3 linked regions of the Drosophila melanogaster genome follow. Changing the gene in region 2 together with the main gene of any one other region gives a genetic interaction. Each region holds a gene or a part of one and is shown on either strand. Other genes may lie near its edges.

Region 1 (7,945 bases), 2.4 Mb from region 2:
CTTGCTTGTTGTCGCCTCGCAGCAGCACTCGAAGAAAGATTTCCCAGCCAATTTGAATATAATTGGTAAGAATTTTAAATTCAAGAAATATGTTTTTAATATTTGCTAAAGCACTACTTGAAAGAATAAGCCCATGAAAAATGGATCGTAAGAATGATATTATGTTCCTTGGTATATCAATCTACTTCAATTGCATCCCCTTTTTTCCAGTGTCTCGAGGCTTTCCGTCGAGGTTTTCCGCCACAGCTGGAGTATGCAAATGCTCCCCACTTTTCCGCCCACACTTCTAATTCCGCTTAGCTGCAAATCCAATTAAACATGCAGCCAGAGCATTGCCAAAATATAAATAAGGGAAACATGTGTGCGATACTTTCGCACTTTCCGCAGTAGAAGGCAGCAGGCATCTGGCAGCCGCGTTCCCAGGCAGATTAATGGCCAAGGAGCTGGGTGCCAAGAGCGGCGACATCTGCTAAATGGTAACCACATCCTGCCAAGATCCGGGGCGCACCGAAAAACCCAACCAAGCGGCTGCACACATGGCCTTCATAATTCAACCCACTTGATAGAGTCGGTTATGGCCACACTTCATGGTCCTTTAATGGGTTTAGTAATGGTAATGATGAAAAAAGAGATATATCTAATTTATTATTATGCATATATATTCAGTTATTGAATAAAAATGTATTGTATACTTTCAACCAAGTTTTATATTAAAATGTGCGAGAGCATAAAGAGCAACCTCCTTCAAACCGCATCAATCAGCAATTATATCGCATATTTCCCAGCTCGCGCTCCGCATTTTCCAGCCAGACCACAAGCTGTGGAACATTCATGATTCCGGGAATTGCAAAGGGGCAAAATCAAAGTTCATTATTGCAGCAGTTGTGGCGAGAACGTACGGAGAAGTTTCCGCCCCGTAACGCCGCCTACTTCAAGGGCTCTCCATCCATCCGTCGTATTCACATGGCGTATACGCAATATAAATACGTAATTGCATGAAACACCATGGAAAACGGGCAGAGCCATTGATCAACTGGCAGTCAGCCGAAAGATGAAAGCCGAGTCCCGAAAACCAAAGGCATCGAGGCACAAAAGAGCAAAGCACCAAAGGAGCAGGATGAGCAGGAGGAGCATGAGGACTTCGTGGTTTCCACCAGGGCAGAGAAGCTCATCAACTAAATGCAAAGTTCTTGCAGGCTGGCTGCAGAACAAGAATAATTGACGACGACATGGCGATGGATAATGAGGCGACTACCCATCCTGCACACACGCAGGATATGACAGCGAAAGGCTGGCGACTCCTTGCAGCACTATAATCCTGCGGAAACACTTGAAAATGATGGATGAAAATTATCGCTTTGTGCAACGCATGCAAATGTGCAAAATTACTTTCACATGATTAATGCTCCACCGGAGGGCAGAGGCTGCTCCAGCTTCAACTACACCATCATCATCACCATCATCATCATCATCACTCCATAATTAATCGCGCCAAGTCGAAAAGCGGCAAAAGAAAGCCAGAAAGCAGACAATGGCTGAACTTCATTTGAAATTCATATTTTAAGTATTCGTCAGTCAATTAGAGAGCCAAGGACCCTGACACCGAATTTGCATTCAGCCGTGAAATTATCAAATTAATATTCCGGCCCCGAGAAGGGGGCGTGCCCCATCACCATCACCCCCGCCCGTCTTTCGCAATAACTGTCAACTCAAACTCAAGAAGTTTTCCACGCCGCACATTTCGGCAAGTTGTCAAGCCAGAGATACGAAAGTTCCCCGGTCCAACAATGCCAATTTGATGGGGGAAATTTTGAAATATTTATACACACTCAAACACACAGATACAGCAGAGGTGTGCTGGCAAAGTTGCCAGCCAAATTTGTTAATTGGAAGCCGAAAGTTTATCTATGAAAATGCTAAAGAAGCCCACTTGCAGTTCGAAAAATGCCAGAATGTATAATAATGGGGCAAGAAATGAGATTAGTCAGTATCCCAAACTTGAATGATCAAAGTTTCATGGATGGCGTAACTAATTTTGAAGTGGAATGATTAAATTTTGAAACTACTTATAATCGATATTACCATCCTGCGATCGGAACAATAAACTCAAACAATTCGATACTTCAATGGGATTGTAAATAATAAGTCATCTTAAATCATCCCAAGCATATTCAAATCGCTTGGAAGCCATTAAAGAGATAAGCGAGCATTGCAAAATGATATCAGCCAACTTGTAACAATTTTCATTGTCATTTTCAATTGGGAGCAGCCAGGAGGAGCTGGCCAAACAACAATGGGAACTGTTATCAAATAGGACACATGATGCATACGTGAGTGGGGGCTTCTATGCACATGGATGTGGTACATACATATGTACGTCCAATATTCTGGTCCATTTGGGCCAGGCCACTATCGAAATTTGAATGCTTAGTGTACCGGGCGACAAGCATCCTCGAACATTGAAATAAACCGATAAAAACGACAGATGAGCCCGGCATTTCGCCCACAATGCATGCCAGGCAGGCAATCGAGTGTGGTCGAGAAATAGTCGGGTAGCCCCCTTTTTGGTTTTGGGGCACAGCTCACTGCCCTGCAATTCTTATATAAAACCGGGGAAGTCCCCATCCCAACCGCCCATGCAAATCTCGAGCACTTGAGGCCGGTCCCCAGATTATTCCTTTTCCCTATTTTGGGCCACGTGGTCTGACCACTTGGCGGCTGCTCCAACTTTAATATTTCTTCGTTTAAATAGTCCTTTATTTCTGCAGAAATTAGACAAAATCAAAGACAATATATTTATGCTATATATTCATTTTCACTGTTATGTCTGTAAGGGTATTCAGAAATGCGCCTACTCTGTGTAGTTTTTCAATTTAGTTAGATACGATGAATATATTGAGATTCTGCCAGATTTAGATTGTGGTGTGTGAGTTTTCAGATTGGTTTGTAAGGACCCCTTTTGTTTGGTCCATATCAATACAAACTCCTCATGTGCATATAAAATAAGTAAAAAGGCAAAATATGAAACAAAACAAAAAGAAAAGGACATTCATATTTTGTAGCTATTGGGGGATTTTAAGTAATGTTATGAAATCATACCTTTCTTTATTTGTGTAAAGTATTCAATACACGCAACTAACGGGCAAAATTGGAAACACCCAAAAATTCAATTTTGGCGCGCACAGAAAGCTGCCCTTTTGGAATAGATTGGCAGCACTCTCGCGCACGGTGGCAACCTCGTCTAGGGACTGCCGATAGCAGCAAGTTCCGCCCGTGTGGCAACACCGCTAGAAAAACAGTCTAAATTTGCTGTGCAACACTGGCGGTTTGCAAAAATAATTTCGGTGCTCGCGTCAATCAGAAAAAGCCGAAAAGAACGGCCTTTATGTGCGCGAATTAATCGCCAGCCGAGTGGAACGCGACCAAAGGAACCCAGCACACACACACACTCAGAATGGAGGCCCTAATTCCGGTCATAAACAAGCTGCAGGACGTCTTCAACACCGTGGGCTCCGACTCCATCCAATTGCCCCAAATTGTTGTTCTAGGCAGTCAGGTAAATGCAAACTGCGAGGTGCCCAAAAATCCGCACACCGAAAACCATAAATCCCCGAGCTCCGTAAAAGGAGTGGCAACTGAGAACCGGAATATGGCGCAGCTATCTGAAACCCCAACTCTTGCGCTTTTCCAGTGACCGCAAAATTATATAACTGAGTGCGTTTGCCGGCATTTTAGTTGTGTTTTCAGTTTGTAGCAACATTTCAGCCAGCTTTCGCTCTTCGCGGCGTCCCCATTGTTTATATAATTATTTTTGGCACTGCTCGCCGCCGCCATGGAAAATCAATATGCCACAGTATTATACAAAAACGAAAAAAAAAACAGCTGCTGGCTGATGTGACACATTCCCCCACGAACACACTGCAAAAAACAAACGTACACATGTGTGACTTCGATAGTTGTGTCTGTATGTACATATATGTGTGCATGTTTCGATCGCTGGCTTAATTGCACTTTGATTCACGCTCTGGAATTAAGTCAGTATGACTAAATGCTCGCGCAACTCATTGATACCGAGTACAGCGGAGCTCCAATATGTTGAATCTGTGCCATTTCTTACCATTCATTTGGTTTTCTGTTGCAAAGGCTTAAGTTTGAGAAATTTGCAATCACAGAATGGCTCCCATTGCCAGATAAGAATAGTTAATCTGCGGTTTTCCAAGTGTTTCCTCGCTGCAAACGCTTGGGAGCCACCTTATCAGGTCATCGTCTTTTATCAGCCGTCGTTTTAACTCCCAGTAATACATACATTTCCCCTTTTTTCCAGAGCTCCGGCAAGAGTTCGGTGATCGAGAGCGTTGTGGGACGATCCTTTCTGCCCCGTGGAACTGGTATTGTGACCCGTCGCCCACTGGTGCTCCAGCTGATCTACAGCCCACTCGATGATCGCGAGAATCGCTCGGCGGAAAATGGTGAGTTGAGACGTCAGAAGTTCGGGAAAACCCAATTGCTAAACCACATAACACTTAGGTACGTCCAATGCCGAGGAGTGGGGCCGCTTCCTGCACACCAAGAAGTGCTTCACGGACTTTGACGAGATCCGCAAGGAGATCGAAAACGAAACGGAGCGGGCGGCGGGCAGCAACAAGGGCATCTGCCCGGAGCCCATCAACCTGAAGATATTCTCAACGCACGTGGTCAACCTAACGCTGGTGGATCTGCCCGGCATCACCAAGGTCCCGGTGGGCGATCAGCCGGAGGATATCGAGGCGCAGATCAAAGAATTGGTCCTCAAGTACATTGAGAACCCGAACTCCATCATTTTGGCTGTGACGGCCGCCAACACGGACATGGCCACCAGTGAGGCACTCAAGCTGGCCAAGGACGTGGACCCCGATGGCCGGCGCACTCTGGCCGTGGTCACGAAACTGGATCTCATGGATGCCGGCACCGATGCCATCGACATCCTGTGCGGCCGGGTCATTCCCGTCAAGCTGGGCATCATCGGCGTTATGAATCGCTCGCAGAAGGACATCATGGACCAAAAGCACATCGACGATCAGATGAAGGACGAGGCCGCCTTCCTGCAGCGCAAGTATCCCACTCTGGCCACCCGGAACGGCACGCCCTACTTGGCCAAGACCCTCAACCGGCTCCTGATGCACCACATCCGGGACTGCCTGCCAGATCTTAAGGTGAGTCTAGTCTATAAAGACTGCATATCGATTTCACAAACTATGCGAGAATCTCAGGCTAAAACTTCAAGAAAATGTAAAAAAATGAAACAAACTTGGCACTCGATTATAATCGATCTTTATATTTTTCTATGGTAAAGCAAGAGAAGATTAATGGCAGATAAGGTTAGAATAGCATGTTGAATTCAAGAGAATGACTTCCCATATTCTTGCAGACTCGCGTCAACATCATGGCCACGCAATTCCAATCGCTGCTGAACTCCTATGGCGAGGATGTCTCCGACAAGAGCCAGACCCTGCTGCAGATCATCACGAAGTTCTCCAGCGCCTACTGCTGCACAATCGAGGGCACGGCCAGGAATATCGAGACCACGGAACTGTGCGGCGGTGCCCGGATGGGCTACATTTTCCACGAGACCTTCGGCCGCACCCTGGACTCCATTCACCCGCTGGCGGGTCTGAGCAAGATGGACATACTGACAGCCATCCGGAATGCCACTGGTCCACGCCCGGCTTTGTTCGTTCCGGAGGTCTCGTTCGAACTGCTAGTGAAGCGCCAGATTCGCCGCCTGGAGGAACCCTCCTTGCGCTGCGTGGAACTCATTCACGAGGAGATGCAGCGCATTGTTCAGCATTGTGGCAACGAAGTGCAGCAGGAGATGCTGCGGTATGTGAACTCATGATAGCTGAACGCCAAAGGTTTTCATCGATCTCCCCTACAGCTTTCCCAAACTGCACGAGAAGATTGTGGACGTGGTCACCCAGCTGCTGCGTCGACGTCTGCCGCACACCAACGTGATGGTGGAGAACATTGTGGCCATCGAGCTGGCCTACATCAACACCAAGCACCCCGACTTCCACAAGGATGCCGCTTTGGTGCCCAGTCTGCTGAAAACGGACAGCGATCCCTACTCACAGATAAATCTGGGGCAGCGGCGGGCCAATACACCGCGAAACCACATGTCGCCTCAGATTTCGTCGCACAGTGCTGGTTCACAGCAGCCGCAGCAGCAACAGCCGCCGCAGCCGAATTCCTCACAGCAGCAATATAGCCAAGTGCATGAGCAGGTGCCAGCGGAATCTTCATTTATGTATGCAACCTATTTAACCCATTTTCGTTTCGCTCTCTAGAACCACGTCGCCGAGAACTCGACGCCTTCGATGGCCAGCACATGGCTGTCAAACATTTTACCGCCGGCACCAACGCGTCCGGACAGCATTGAGAACTCGACCAACAACACTCCGGTTCACAATAACATCGTGAGTCCAGTGAAGCCGGTCAATCTGCTGCCCGATGTGCCGGCCAACCACAATCCACGTCGCCTCACTGACAAGGAGCAGAAGGATTGCGATGTCATCGGTGGGTTGCACTTAACTCGGGCCACTTAAAGACCTAACTCAATCTGACTACTTTTTGTTTTTAGAACACCTGATCAAATCGTATTTCTACATTGTGCGCAAATCCATACAAGACTCGGTTCCAAAGGCCATCATGCATTTCTTGGTTAACTACGTTAAGGACAACTTGCAGAGCGAATTGGTTACACATCTGTATAAGTCGGATAAGGCTGAAACCCTGCTCAACGAGTCCGATCACATTGCAGTGCGCCGAAAAGAGGCGGCAGATATGCTGAAGGTGCGCTTGGCTAGCTTATACTTAGCTTGACATCGTTTTAAACTTACTTTTGATTTCAGGCACTGACGCGAGCGAATCACATCATCAGCGAAATCCGCGAGACCCACATGTGGTAGGCTGGTCAGCGATTGGAGCAACCCGTTTCGACTTAATAATCCCCGCATATAAGCAACATAAAAACTATTTATTGAAGACGCGTTCAAAGAGAACGAACTCCTTTGTTAAATGTTCCCCCTACCGAGCACTGAAATATCATCAAATTGCATGCGACCCCCAAATTCTGGGCCTTTCATTTAGCCAACTCGCATTTCTATTCGCCTGGCATTTGTCTATCATCGAGCCTCTCCGCTTTTTAAATTAATAAGAAGTTGTAGACGCCGTGATTGGTTTGATTAGGTTACTCAAAGCACTTATTACACATTGAATAGTCAAATAAAGCAGAAAAGGTTGATTCAAACATAGTAGATGTGTTTTCTGTCACGGCAGCTAAAAGTTTACGAAGGCAACGTCATCATGTTGAATGATACACCTGGAATTTCGATTAGATAAGCCATTATGTTCGTAAAGTTGCTAGGCTCAGTCTGAAGATTAATAAGTGTTTAAATCTGATAGGAGTTGAATCTTCCTGAGTTTTGAGATGCGTAGCAATTGCTTAGCCTTACTAAAAACAAAATTTTTCTTACAAATTATGTTACATGTAGGTGTGGCTTGAGTGAACTAGAAGTACGTTCGTTCCCCTGATTGAAATCACTGCCACTCACCTTTCGTAATAAAAACTTTAATACTTGGATACCAGTTAAAATCTAATTTGGAAAACGTCATTTGTATTGCGGCGAAGAAACAGAAGTGGGTTCCAGCTGGGGCGTGGCAAATCCCGAAGATAAGGATGTGGTGTCCAGTGCTCCAATCCTGTGTTGATTAAATGCTCCGCGATGCGTATGAATCGGTTTATGGGGCAGGGAACAGTTGGGGTAGTGACTCTATGACCGCCTTTGGCTGTGCTGATCTCCTCTAGGCGCGATTTGTGTCGGACAGCACGCGGACAATGCAGCCCACTCCTCCCTTGGCGAAGGCCTTCTCATGCCACTGCAGCAGGTGGCCACTGGAGCCCTCCGAG
Region 2 (8,071 bases):
ACCTATTGCAGCTGACCCGCTGCTTGGTGAGCGGAGAGTTTTTCCGGGCGGAGACTTTTCTTGGCTTTCCGCGCAGCGCATGCGTTGGCTTCCGCAGGACTCTTGTTGTTTTCGTTCGACACCCAACGAGTGGGCCGGAAATTACCAGACGCTGCAACTTTTGGGTGCGGTGGGTGCAGATGCTGTTGCTATCGCCCGCACACAGCCCAACCGCCAGCTTGCCCTTTGACCCCGCCCTGCAGTTGCGTGCGGCGCGAGAATTAGATGGGAAATCAATCAAATGGGAATCGGAAAGCAACGCATTTTTCTGGCCATTGGTTGTCTGGGCAATCATTGCTATGTTTTGCTAAATTTTATACTTTTGGCCAACTTTCGACCAAGTTATGAGACAAATATTTGACGCATTCCACATGAGATGTGCTGTCAAAATGGCAAACTTCTTTGACGGTTTAGCACAGTTCTGTCCGAATGAAATCGATATGTTGGCAGGAGAATGAAATACGGAAGCATGTTTTCCGAAACAATTTCCCAGGGAAAATTATACCAAAGCTTTCGCACTACGTTCTTTGATACTGATAAATTTGACCTACTTTATAAGTAGGCGAAACCTGTGACAATATATGGAATTCCTTTGAAAAATCCTATACTATATAAAAACCTATACTGCGGTAAAAAGGTAAAATGCAACCAAAAATGATACATCGGTTTATTTTTCATCAAAAGAGAAAATCACTTATTCGAAATAATCCACATATATTGTCGAGAAGAGTAGCCTTGTCCATATTGGTTTTTAGGTTAAATTTGACCCACGCACCATAACTTTCTTAATATAGGCAACTCTCGTCTGGTTGGAAACATGTGTTCTTTTTGTGGCCCCAAAAAAAAGCGATTCCCCCACTTAATCGATCACTGGCCGCGTGGGAGATGCAATTAACCAAAAATAATTAAAAAAAAAAAAACACACACATTGTTTACTCGGCTCCACTCTTCGGATTTCCGCCTTTGTTTACCGATCAACACAACGCACAAGTAAAATTAAAATAAATTCTATATCTGCGGTCAGGATGGTATTGTTATATGTAGTTATAATACACAAATGTGTAAAGTTAAAATGTGACGATATCGCGGGAGCTGTCAGTGAACTACAGTTGATTGCAACTATGACCGTTGGCGATAATGGGGGTGCGATAAGGTGGATGCTAAACGAGAGGGGAAGATGCAATTGAGAAATCCGTTTCGGATGCGAGAGTCCAAAGCGAAATCAATGGCAAATTGAAAGACAAAAGCGCAGCGAAAGAACAAAAGAACAAGGCAAATATGTGCGCTACAGCTACAGCTGGTAGTGGAATAACAAAAATAGCCGCATAATCGCACTAAAAGGATGGATGCAACCCAGACTGGCAGACAGAGGCGTCAATGGAAATCACTAATTGGAAAATATTTTTCCGCAGTTGCTGGTCGCCTGCTGCATGCCGTGAAAAACTCGCATTCGCCGCGAGGGAGACGAGAATTGAATTATTCGCTGGCCAAATTAGCGCACTGTCGAAAGGTAGTAGAAATGGGAATGGAAACGTGAGATTGCCAAATAGTAGCAGAGATTACTACGCAACAATAAATTACTTTGCCGCAAATTGCTTTAATGGACACGAAGCTGAAACACAGAAAACACAAAAAAAAGAATCGCAATGAAATAAAGCGAAATATGATGAACGGACATGTGTACGTCAATGGTGGGTACACTCTATATATATATACATATACATATATTATATATAGACCAATATAGAGCTTTTGGAATGGAGAAGCTACTGAGCTACTGAGCAGCTGATTCACGCCGGTTAAGTATCTCGGTAATGGTGAAACCAGCTTCGAGAATGTTGCCCCCTTTTTCGTATCTACTATACCCGGCGTGATGAGTTGCCCAGTTGGGATTAGTTATGCAATTTACCTTCTTTTCACCTCTGTCTGCTCATCTAAGGTTTGCCTATCTGTTTTACGATTCACCTTCCTATCTATTTAATTGTTTCTGTTTGCTTTGTTGGAAACAATAAACGTTAGGAGCATCAAACGGTTAATAAATAATATCCATTTCATATTCATAATATATTTGATTATTCACTGTTTCTACCTGCAAATCATATTGCTTTTATAAAAGTAGTTTCTTGCAGTAAATTAGCGGGTTGCCTTTAGCGAACGATCCCTGTATTAAGCAGTCATATTTCTGTTCGTGGCATTCAAATGAGTGTGAATCACGCGGTGACGATCGATTGCGAAAAATCTATGAAAACTATGAGAAAGCCGGCAAACAATGCGGCTGCTGTTCAAATCGAGAATGATTAATGTCAAGGGAAATGGAAAAGGAAGAAGAAAAGTCGGCCTCCGAAGAGAGTATCTTCTAGGCTATTAAATTTCACCGCATTGCGATATAAAATTCACTTAATAAGAGAGCTCCGCAAAAAACGATGACTCATGAGCAGAGTTGGAGGAAAAAAACCATACAAAAAAAAAAAAAAAATAATAATAATAAGAGAGTGGCGAATGACTAACGCACAAAACAAAATTAAATAGAAGGGGCAGCAGGCGATGGGAAAGGGCGTGGGATGCAAGGTGCGCCGCAAGGACACTGGGAACAAACATCAAAATGGTATTCAAATTACGACGGTGTACTATAATACTCGAATGACGACGGGAACACAACAAATTAATTAGAAACGCAATGATAACTGGTGTTGACTAGTTGCTATTTGCAGTGGCTAGACTCACCCAATCCGTATTTGCAGAAGATCTCCTCGACGGACGCAATCTTTGGCTGCGGCTGGGTCGATTCAACTGGCGCCACTGGCACAACCTTCGGCTTGGCCGGCTCCACCTTGGGTTTGGGTGGCTCTGGTTTCGGCTCGACTACGGGTGCGGCGATGGTGGGTGCCTTCGGCGCCTCCTGGACAGTGGGTTTGAACACCACCTCCTCGTCATCCAGGTCGGTTATCAAAGCGGTTGTCACGGGTACAGCCACTGGAACCGGCTGGGGTTTGGCAACTGGTACTGATACTGGTACTGCCACTGGAGCAGGAGCAACAGCTGGAGCAGCATCGAGAATGGGAGCTGGTGCGGGTGCTGGTGTGGGTGCTGAGCGTGGCTCCTCCTTAAAATCGCTGGCCAGATCTTCCGACGAGATGAACTTCTCGTTGTCCTGATCCTTGAGGGCATCTACAATGGGTTTCTTGGCCGGCGATGGTGTGTACGAGACGGACGGCGATTCAGTGTCGGAATCCTGGTTGGCCTTGGTCAATGGGGCGACAGGAGCTGCTGGGGCAGCAGTGGTTGGCTTGCCCAGGAAGTCATCCTCCTCGTCGTCATAGAAATTGGCCGTGGACGGTGCCGTTGGCTGGAAGGCCTGGAGTGGTGCCGATGGCTGGTCAGTGAAGCTGCCCAGGAGGTCCTCCTCGACAGGAAGCGGAGCTGGGACAGCAGGAGCTGGCGCCACTGGAGCTGGAACGGCCGGAGCATGATCGGGAACAGCTGGAGCTTGTGCTGGAATAACCGGAGCTTGAGCTACCGTCTCTGAGAATGGAGCCAGGGGAGCGGAGAAGCCCCGCTCGGCATTCATAAAGTCGGTGGTCAGTCCACTGATGCCCTGCTTCACCTCCTTGCCAGCGTCGCGCAGAAAGTCCTCGAAATCATCAGTCTTCTGTGCAAACTTGGTGTCCAAATCGAGTTTGGCATCCTTAGCGTCGGCGGCCAGGCGTTGGACAAACTCCTGCGCATCGCCAAAGTCCAACTTCTTTTGCTCGTTGGCGAAGTAGTGCTCCGTGTGGGCATTATCGTCCTGGGCACCACCACTCACATTGCCAGTATCGCCACCAAGTGCAGAGTCTTCGTAGGCACGTTGCGCCTGCTTGAAGATGTCCTCGTTGGTGGCAGCGGCCTCCTTTTTCAGTTCGTCGAAGTTCCGATCCATATTCTACAGTGTTTTGATTTCAAAATATAACACTTGTGATCAATAAGAAATTTTCACAGATGTGTTTGAATATCCTGGCCTTCTGATTGGAACTTCGCACACACACACACGTACGCACGCACACGACACACCCACACACACACGCACAGGCACCGAGCTACAGCTGATTTTGCCGGTTGAAATTAATATGATTTTTTTTAGCCGACTTAAGTGCCTTCTGGTGACTAAAAGGCCGCAATTCGCAGTGTTTTGTGCTCGGGAACGTTGAATTTAATTTGAACCACAGCGACTCTTTTACAGGCGCCGTCGATGCAGACGTTTGAAAAGTTTCAATGGACCTGCGCTAGAGGTGGCACAGCGGTCGATACTATCGATGACGCTCACAGCATAATTGCCTAAAAATGGACAAATACCTTGAACAGCCATGTTTCGAACCAAAGTTTTGATGTTGCCGGCATCTTTAGCCATGACATTAACCCAATGGCTCTGGCAAATTGGCTAAAATTCACGACAGCTAAAATTTGTTGTATGTATTTCCAGAAACTTCGCGCAATTCAGTTATGCCTAATGTTTGATTTATTTGTAAACATAACAACCATGCTCAGGCCGTCCACTTGAGGCAGCGCGTGTCCTGGTGCGTTTGCAGGCATCTAACGCAACAGTATCGCGTTCCGCAGGCGGTGCACGAGTACAACGAGAAGTTGCCGCAAACGGCGCAGAAATGCCGCAGTGGCTTTTGTGGAGCCGGCGCTGCGGCGCTCTCGTAGTTGGGCTGCTTGTCCTTGTCCTCCTCGAGCAGTTGCTGGAAGTTCTTGCGATACTTGACGAGAAAGTATTCGGCGCCCTTGCGCTTGCCTTTCTTCTCCTTGCCGGTCTTCAGGCTGTCCTGGAATTTGGGCAACTTCTTGGACATGACAAGGTCGGCGTGTGGGTCATCGTGGTAGTTGTCCTGCTCCAGAGCCTCCAAGGCTTTGCGGGCACGCCGCTGGCGGGCTGTGGAGTCCAGGACACGCTTCTTTTCAGCGTCCTTGATGCGGTTGGATTCGCGACCCGTCATGGTTGTTTTTAGGTTTTTACTTTTGGCTATTGGATTTTATGGGTTGTGTAGGTTCTAAGCGTCCTTGTCGTGCAGCGGAAAGCTTATCCGATCCATCAAGTCGTCCACTCGCGCCTGCAAAACTTCCACAATGTCCGTGGAGATAAACAAATGGTTCTCGTCCAGATCCTGGATAATGAATTTGCGTCCCAGAGCCAGTTTTTCGTCCAAGTGCAGCAGGAATTGTTTCATAGCAGGATCACTGCGGGGATTGGGTTGAATATAGCGAAACCAACGCATACCAAACGTATACCACTTACCACTCCACCAGCACTCCTTTCATAACATTTACCATGTTGCCAGCATTTGTTTGCCGAAATTAATAAACAATCTCACCAATTCTCAGAGCTGAATGACATATTCACAGTGAAACGTAGGCTAGAGGTGGCAGTCTTTACTATCGATATTTTTTTGACTTTACTTGATAATTTAATCAATAATTTCAGCATGGCAATATAATATTTACAATCAACGAAATATAACACATTGCTTTAAACCAGCACCCGATATTAACTATATTATGTTAGTTTCACCGTCGGAAGTTTCGTACTTTAAGAAATATAGCTATTTTGCCAGCCCTATCAGTGCTACTCACTACGAAAAGTAGACAGAAGTAGCGGGGTATTTGCCAGTCACACGGACAAACACCAAGGCAAAAGTGTGAGGAAATATTGAATTCCAAATTAAATTCCTAATTAAATCAGACCATAAGCACGCAATGGAAAGGCTGACCGGAAGGAATGTGGCACTACTGGTGCTGTGCCTGTGCGCCGGATACGCCCTGGTGTTCGCCGAGGGCGAGAAGGAGATACCGGTTACCAAATTCGGACAGAACATAGCGCCGACGATGACTTTCCTTTACTGGTGCGTTATATGCGGGGCAATTAACATAATTGATAACAATGACCTCTGTGTTTCTCACCATTGATTCGCCAAATAGCTACTCCTGCGGCTATCGCAAGGCGTTCGAGGACTACGTGGGCCTGCTGGGCGAGAAGTATCCGCAAATTCAGGTGAATGGCGGCAACTACGATCCGCCGGGTCTAAACTATTACCTCTCCAAGATGATATTCGCCCTGAAGATCATAATCATTGTGTCCGTGGTCAGTGCGGTCAGTCCGTTCACCTTCCTTGGCCTGAACACGCCCAGTTGGTGGAGCCACATGCAGGCTAACAAGATATACGCCTGCATGATGATCTTCTTCCTGGGCAACATGCTCGAGGCCCAGCTCATCTCGTCCGGCGCTTTCGAGATAACACTAAACGATGTGCCTGTGTGGTCGAAACTGCAGACGGGACGCTTTCCCTCGCCGGAGGTACTCTTTCAAATCATCGACAACCATCTGCAGTTCACCGAAAAGGTGCAGGAGAATCCGGACTTTGTTAAATAATAGCATTGGACTGACTGGACGGACGGAGGAGCGCGGAAAACAGCAGTTGGACAACACCAAAACAGCCGCAGACATCGATTTCCGGCTCTGAACCTAACTTAAACATAAGCTCTTGTCCCGACATTATCCACTTAGCTGTATTTCTGTTTTCACCCCAACTATAGCCTACTCTACACATCCTAAACGCATCCAATCCGAACCGAACAAAATCGCATTTGATCGGATTTAGATGGGATATAAAGTTCGCTTTAATTTCAATCAAACGAAATTTCTTGTGCATTCGTTTTATGTGTTGTACATTTTATTTATCAAAAAACTGGGCTTTCTTTTTGGTTGTGTTACGTTTACAATAATCCCAACAGGGGCACAAGATTTACTTTCGTTGCAGTGGAGGCAGTGGTTACTCTTCTCGACCCCTCTTCCATAATTCCATAATTATATTTGGTATGTGGCATATGTGTCATATGGTTTTAGTTTTTGGTGTCCACGTAATTAGATTACATCTCCACGGAAAATGGCACTGTTCTGTGGTTAAAGTTTTGTTTGTTTGGTACTCGAGTTGGGGTTTGGATCGTTATCTCGTTTCCTGGATAGGATAGCAAATTACTTAAGACGTATATTTAACTGCTACTTAGTTCGAACTGCAATCTAGGGGGCGGTGGTGTCCTCGCGTGGGCGTCGGTTGTACTGGCGGGTATTGCCACCATGGCGAGCATACTCATCGTAGGCCTGCAGGTTGCTCGGGTGAACCCTTTGCTGGTACCTTCCGTTCAGATAGTTTGATGGGCCGCGACTGCGCGTGATCCAAGAGGAGCGCGTGGACCCGGCGTTAGATTCGGGATTGGAACCAGGACTGGAGCCCGTGGACCAGCTAGAGTACGATCCCGGATTGGAGACCGATCCTGCTACGGGTCCGGAATGCCAGCTGGATCCAGCATTGGTCCTCGATTGCCAGGCGGCGTTGGAGCCAGGATAAGCTCCGGCATTGGAGCCAGGATAAGCTCCGGCATTGGAGCCAGAATAAGCTCCGGCATTGGAGCCAGGATAAGCTCCGGCATTGGATCCAGATGACCAGGATCCGGAGCTGGAACCAGGACTGGACTGAGAGCCAGGACTGGAAGACCGGCCGGATTGCCAGTTTGCCCTGTAATTGCCATCTGTTTTCAAACTGCCCGAAGGATTACTCGAGGCAGAACCATCTGTGAAACCGGAAGACGCATCTGCCCTGGACTTTGCAGTGCGAGCCACAAAGCTGTTGCCTCGACGACGGCAAACCGTGCACCTGAAAGATGATACCGCCATTGTAGATACATATGTATACAGCTAATGGGTTTGCTCAAGTAACCCACCTGCTTATCTTGCTGGTAAAATCCGCCTTTAGCGTCTGCTGGCGCGGCTGGACGAACTGATCCTGCTCCTCGATGACGGTTAACCAGAAGGAGGCCAGCGCATCGTAGTAGTTGCAGCGTCCATGGCCATGGCACTCGATCACCGGCTGGGCGCGGAACTCCTCCAAGCAAGAGCCCGGGGAGACGAGGTTCTGCCCAACGCCACCGACGTTGTCCAAGGTGCTCTGAAAGGTTGGGTAACGGTGGGTTAACCTTTAATTCCTTATGCTGAGAATAG
Region 3 (6,452 bases), on a different chromosome or scaffold from region 2:
ATAAAATATCGGGATGTCTCTATCGCCAGCCAGTGGCATTGGTCGTTTCTACGCCAAGTCGGCAAAAATCATACGTTTCGTACGCCTGGGATGCACCAATCGGCCTTTTTATCACATTGTCGTCATGGAGGTGCGTACTTTTAGGCCATTAAAATGGTTAAAACTTTTAATTGGTAATTGTATTTTCCGGTTTAGAGGCGCAAGAACCAGCACCAGCCTGTCATCGAGCAGGTGGGCTCCTTTGATCCCCTGCCCAACGATTACAACGAACGACTGGTGGCCCTGAACACGGAGAGAATTCGCTATTGGCTGGGCAAAGGTGCACACTTGTCCACGCCGGCTGCAGAACTCCTGGGAATTGCCGGACTACTGCCCATCCACCCGCGCACCTACATGACCGCCTGGCGGAACCGGAGGACAGCTGCTGAAGCGGAGGCGTCGCCAGAAAAGGCGGAATCAACCGCATAAATATAGTTGTGCCTCAATAAAAGCCTCCTTTTCGTTTTTACGTTTAACAAACGGAGATTTCTTCTGGTTCAGCGAACACTGGTGCTCTTATCAACAACAAAATGAATACAGAATTAAAATTTATTGCAAAACGTAACCAATACGAGGTGAGGTTGGTGACCAGGCCCAAAACCAAATGCATGGATAAGCGAGAAGCGGTCGGAGCTACGGTACATTCGCCTTCTAGTCATGCTTCAGCACTCCAGCGGCTTTCTTCATGCCATCATCGATGATCCTGTCAACGGCTGTGTGCAAATATTGATCTCCTTTTAGTAAAATTGCAATATCTAAGAGGTGAATTTACTCACATTCGTGATGTTTCAGGAAGTAGGGTCGCACCAGCTTGTTGTAGATGATGGTAGAACCATTCTGTTCCGTGGGCAGCATGCACCAGATGAGGAAAGCACACTACATGTGGAGTTGAAGCATTTAAAAGAAGATTCTTATATGTGAAGAATGCAAAGCTCACCTTCAGCAGCCAGTAAAAGGGAATCACCGAAGTTAGCAGACTCGAAAAGAATTCAATCACGGTGAAGATTCCAAACGTGACCCAGTAGATCAGCCACTTGGTGTCGTCCTGCTTTGTGCTGGACTCGATGGCATGGATGGAAATATATGCAGGGTACAGAACCCCAATGATGTTGCACAGTAGTTGGGCGCCCCAGCCAAAGATCAGGTAGATGGCGCACAGACCAACAGCACCTACATATGATGAAATATAATACCTTATTAGTAAATAGCATTAAGTCACTGCTGGAGCTCTACCGTAGCGCAGGAGGGGGTTCTCTACGAACAGTTGGACAATTTTGCTCTCTAATTCCTCGACTGCCATGTTCGCCATCTAGTTGGTCAATTGATATTGCCCTAGTGGCGCATTTTCCCTTATGGCTATAAGCAGGTCCAAGGGCAGGAGCGGTTCCACAGGGCGCAGGGTGATCAGATGGAGTTAACACTTACAAACTTTAGCTACAAGACTAACTGTTCCAAGGGCACAGTGCCAGGTGCTCGTACAGCTTTCAAGGGCGCCCCTTCGTGGATCCCTGGGGTTTTTAAACCGCCCCATGCCGTTGGCTAATTATAAACCCTTAGCTGTTGTCAGTAGATGTCTCGACCTGCCTCTGATCCCGGCCAGTTGCATTTTGCCCACCCAGATGAGCGGACTACGGCCTGTTGTTTTGCCATAAATTTATGATGTCATTCATGCTCGATGGCGGCTAATTATATTTATACCCTGGCTGAGGGTACTTTAATTTGAGCAACATCATTGCAAAAAGGTGGGTTTCATTACAAGCCACAGAAACTATATCCTTAGTCGATCAGATCATTTGATGTGAATTGCGAATTCTCCATAAATGGTTGTTCCCTAATATGCATATATTTGTTTACACAATTTGTTTTGATTATTAAAGTATGCCGAACTGTTGAACAGCTAATGAGGCCAAATGTTTGTATGATGAATCAACGTCCGTCATTTTTGCAAGTGTATATAGACTTCGGTTTTGAAAGATAGCTACTTTTGCCATTATGACCACATTCTCACCTATGCCGAGGTAAACCAAGGGAACTCTGACATTGCGCCGCGTCTCCTGTCGCTGTCTGATTAGCATAATATAGTCCCAGAGCCACATCGGTAACTCCGGTGAGCACCGAACGAACGAACTGAAAGCTCTACCAACGCACACAGGTGAGTGAGTAGATTGGCTCCACGTGTGCCGACAGCGCCACGTCTCAATAATTCAGACCTTTTGACCCCGCCGAACTGGACTTTCTCCAGATCTTCGTCTAGAGAATATGGCAATGGAATGCGCCAAATGTATTGCTCACCGCGTACTGGGCAAAAAAAAGTGTACTTTCGTTGAAGTAAACAAAGAAAAGCACAAAACATGAAACTTTTGTGGATAACAGACGCACACATCGCCAGCTGTCTACGTAGTCGCTTACACGCACACATCGCATGCTCACAAACTGAGGTGTATTGGTTGCAGGCACTCGGTGATAATATAGACACACTATTTAATTGGGCTTTGCCGTTTAAGTCGTCTGTTTAATTCGTTAATTGGTCACCTGGCGGCTATTAAGCCCCCCCGACCATCCTGATTCAGCCACATACACATTGCTATATATAACAGGTTGCTATTTATAAGCATCCCGAAATATTCCACTGCATCTCTAGGCTAATCTCAATGGTTACGCAGTCAACTAGCAGAAGGTTACATGGGCGTTTCGGCGAAGGACATGCGATGACGTCGCCAGGATATTCCACACTCACCCACGAAAATATTGACCCGGTCCACGCCGGTCTTCTCCTCCACGGTATCGAAGACTTTGGTCCACGGCTTGGAAGCATCGCGCAGCGATTTGCTCACGTCATCCTTGTAGCCGTTTAAGAACTGCTTCACCTGAGTGGCCATTTTGCGCAAATTGTTTTTAAATATATATAGTCAATCAAAAATATGTGACGCCGCCGACTTTCCAGATGCCAGTCGATAGTTTGTGCTTGCGCCTATCGGTGCCAAATGGACTATTGACAATCGAAGACATGATGCGTTATTGTTCGCATCTATCGCCGCCTATCGATAAGGAGAGGTCATACTAAAATTGCAATACTGGCGGCTTTTTCTTTTTCACAGTAAATATTTGCAAACAGCAAATAATTATTTTAAGCTTTTATTAGAAAGGTAAATATGTTATGCAGCAAATTACATAAGAAAAAAAACTTATAGCAGTTGACGTGCATTCAATGGTAAACTCATGGGATCATTTTTGATGAACAATTTTATTATTTATAAAATTATAAATTTTAGGATTGTCACATCGTGGGACTTAACAATTGTATGCGAGGATTTACAGTAATCTAGTTGGCTCCATGAGGACTGGACTCTTCAGTTTCTGCGCTGGGAGAAAACATAACGATCTCGCAAATGGAGCAACTTTTCAAAAAACACAAATGTCAAGGTGGTGTGTGGAGCACTACGAAAGTATATGGGCCAAAAGCCCTTGTACATCCCATGGATCCCTTCGGTTCTCCAGATTTTAGTGAAACAGTCCACCAAGCCCTTGTACATGAGTCCACGCCCCTTTTCATCCACTGGCTGGTTGTACATCCGTGTGGTGAGCACATCAAAGGGCGAATTGGCCACTGCCACAAGGGTTCCCGACGATAGGCCGGCACAGAAGGAGAGGAGAACCGGATGGGTGATCCAGCCTTTATCCTTCAGAAGGGACTTGGCTTTGGGAAAGGTGCCGATCTGTACACTGGAGGCCACAAGCGTTCGGTTCAAGCTTGGTAAAGCAGCGCGCCAGAATCCTGAAATGCCATTGGTCCGGTAAATATGCAGCAGGGCATCCATCATCGAAGTATGCTTGTGCTGAAAGCCTACGGCAATGGACTGAACCGCCTGGGCATGCTGTTGGGCCTTTATCTGTAATGGAGGGAGATCAGATGGGAAGCTCTAGCGGATCTACTCACCATGTAGAAGGGGCTGGCGAAATAGGTGCCCGTGCAGCCGCCCAGAGCTCCAAAGAACATGCCCCGATAGAAGGATATGGAGCCATCCGCATTCTGCAAGTATCCCAGCTCCAATGCGTTCGAATATACACTTAGCCTACCATAAGGAAAGGGTATTTACACTGCAATTTGCTTAGGGTAACTATTTTCAATGATGAACGTAACGACTTATCTTAAATGTCCATTACTTCACAGTGTTAGATAAGATAAGCATGCATTTCACATTAATTCATGGTGCTTGTAATTACACTACTTAGCATTGCATAATTTTACGGCCACTTTTATATAAACTTTGTTTAAATCTACCTCTAATATTCGTATAAAGTTCAAAGATTTTGATGTTTATGGATGGCAACAAGTGTCCTTTACAATGCACTTGCCTGACCGAGTTGAGGACAAATTGATAACATAATGCCGGAGCGAGACCCTTCTCCAAAGCAAGGAGTCCGTCGTTGAGGACTATCTGCAGCATGGCCTGGGGGAGATGCCTGTAGGGCTTCACATAGGTTCCTCGGGCAGCCAACTCTCCCTGCAGCTGCATCCGCGTCTTGACCACATCGATGGGATTGGTGAACACCACCGCACCCATCGCTGCCGTTCCGCCCAGCACGAAATCCGACTTGGTCATGTTTTCACCCCAAACTTTGGATTTGGTTGATCTTACGTTAACATTTTGTTTACTCTTTGGTCGACAGACCGATTGTTACATTTATCGAATTAATGGCATACATTTTAATGCTTTAATGATTTAAATGCTCACTTGGCGGAATAATTTAAATATTTGAACTCTTGTATTTGGTGTTTAAAAATTAAAATTCGCTTAAGAAAGAAATTAGTATTTGTAATTAATGAATTTTTTATTCAAAAATATTGGTAAAATTCTTATTGAATTATTAATTAGTGACCAAAACAAATAAATCACTTTGAGAAAAGGTCATAATACATTTATTATTGCTTGTTAAATATCAACATTAATTTATCGATAGTTACACGTATGGATATCGATAATTTCGCGGACGGTTAAGAATGGATTATAAGGACTTTACTTAACCACGCTCGTAGCCAAAGAATAAAATATAAATAAATACATTTTTATTTTCTCTTTTAACTTGTTTAAATCTTTACTTACCCTCTTCAGAGGATCAAATTGAAATTGTTATTTTGATGAAATATCCGGGAAACGGATATGCTACTAGAACGTAACTTCCAAATACTAAGCTAACGAAAGTAAAACAACTTCGTATGGTTTTGCATTTCAAAGAGCCCCGCTCGTGTTAAATAATTTTCGTTTAGTAGTGAAGATCGTACTTTTCCCTCAGCGCAATTAGTTCGTCAAAGAACAAAAGCACCAACGTGGAATATGGAGCACTCCTCAGATAAATGGGCCAAAAGCCCTTGTACAACCCATATACACCCTCCGATCTTAGGATCGTAAGCACACAATCCAACCAGCCCCTGTAGTAAATGCCACGACCTTGGGCATCAACTCCCTGATTGTAAAGACGAGTGGTAACCACATCCAATGGAGTGATTGCCAGCGAGACAAATGACCCAGCGGCTAAGCCAGAGCAAAAGGACAGGATTGTGGGATGAGTTACCACTCCGTTTTCCTTCAACAAACTCTTGGCCTGGCCAAAAACTGCGATTTGAACGGCGGACGCAACAGTGGCACGGCTCACATTCGCCAACGATCCTCGCCAGAGTCCAAAGACGCCGTTCTTCCTGTATATCTTCCTAATCGCATCGCTCATCGAGGCGTGCTGATGCTGATAACCAACGGCGATCTGCTTGGCTGCCTGTGCCTGAAGTTGCGTCTTGATCTAGAATGGAAATGTAGCTATCAGTGATGCCTTATCTTATCACGGCTAGACATTGTCACATATTCGCGGAAGCAGACACCTTCAGTGTTTGATTTACATAATCGCTTACCAGGAAGAAGGGACTGGCACAATAGGAACCCACAACGCCGCCCAAAGCGCCCCAGAACATGCCCTTTGCGAATGAGATCTCGCCCTTGTTGTTGTGGACCCAACCCTTCTCTACGGCATGGGTGTATATGCTCAATCTAGAGCAGATAGAGAGATAGAGCACATATGTATATTTTTGGAAAACTCCTTGTAGGATAACAAACAGCTTTAACCTACCGAAACGAGTTTATTACAAACTGGAAGCATAGCGCTGGAGCCAATCCTTTTTGCAAGCCAAGAATTCCATCGTTTTTGGCCACAGTCACAAAGGCCTGGAAGACACTCTTGTAAGGCTGAGCATGAGATCCTCGGGCGGCCAGCTCTCCCTGTAGTTGAATGCGAGTTTTGATCACCTCGACGGGATTGGTGAAGACACCAGCGCCCATGGCAGCCACGCCGCCCAGCACAAAATCCGACGTAGCCATCAATGAGACGTCCGTTCTGTATCACAATCTAGTGATCACTAACGC

What was found.
Region 1: of Rtnl1 (region 2) and Drp1, changing one suppresses a phenotype caused by changing the other (phenotypic suppression), as found in Drosophila melanogaster (one study listed by BioGRID).
Region 3: of Rtnl1 (region 2) and ReepB, changing one enhances a phenotype caused by changing the other (phenotypic enhancement), as found in Drosophila melanogaster (one study listed by BioGRID).

The regions. Positions count from the first base shown.
Region 1 is NT_033779.5:2,580,781-2,588,725, reverse strand, and holds Drp1 (dynamin related protein 1), read left to right. Parts: upstream 1-3,295; 5' UTR 3,296-3,454; coding exon 3,455-3,556; intron 3,557-4,324; coding exon 4,325-4,469; intron 4,470-4,527; coding exon 4,528-5,192; intron 5,193-5,407; coding exon 5,408-5,859; intron 5,860-5,914; coding exon 5,915-6,260; intron 6,261-6,323; coding exon 6,324-6,552; intron 6,553-6,616; coding exon 6,617-6,828; intron 6,829-6,887; coding exon 6,888-6,944; 3' UTR 6,945-7,445; downstream 7,446-7,945. Other genes in the region: Arpc5 (Actin-related protein 2/3 complex, subunit 5), read right to left, coding at 7,840-7,945.
Region 2 is NT_033779.5:5,005,418-5,013,488, forward strand, and holds the start of Rtnl1 (Reticulon-like1), read right to left. Parts: upstream 4,304-8,071; 5' UTR 3,959-4,303; coding exon 2,764-3,958; intron 1,149-2,763; exon of another isoform or gene 967-1,148; intron 1-966. Other genes in the region: CG31917 (uncharacterized protein), read right to left, coding at 4,560-5,015; Tfb5 (transcription factor B5), read right to left, coding at 5,070-5,256, 5,315-5,349; SelT (selenoprotein T), read left to right, coding at 5,773-5,918, 5,995-6,445; vkg (viking), read right to left, coding at 7,094-7,727, 7,795-8,018.
Region 3 is NT_033778.4:14,167,047-14,173,498, reverse strand, and holds ReepB (receptor expression enhancing protein B), read right to left. Parts: upstream 3,038-6,452; 5' UTR 2,919-3,037; coding exon 2,777-2,918; exon of another isoform or gene 2,582-2,776; intron 2,340-2,581; exon of another isoform or gene 2,136-2,339; coding exon of another isoform or gene 2,048-2,135; intron 1,711-2,047; exon of another isoform or gene 1,340-1,710; coding exon of another isoform or gene 1,273-1,339; intron 1,210-1,272; coding exon 977-1,209; intron 916-976; coding exon 816-915; intron 753-815; coding exon 691-752; 3' UTR 501-690; downstream 1-500. Other genes in the region: mRpS16 (mitochondrial ribosomal protein S16), read left to right, coding at 14-130, 196-468; CG18324 (uncharacterized protein), read right to left, coding at 3,390-3,929, 3,977-4,112, 4,396-4,643; CG18327 (uncharacterized protein), read right to left, coding at 5,305-5,835, 5,945-6,080, 6,160-6,407.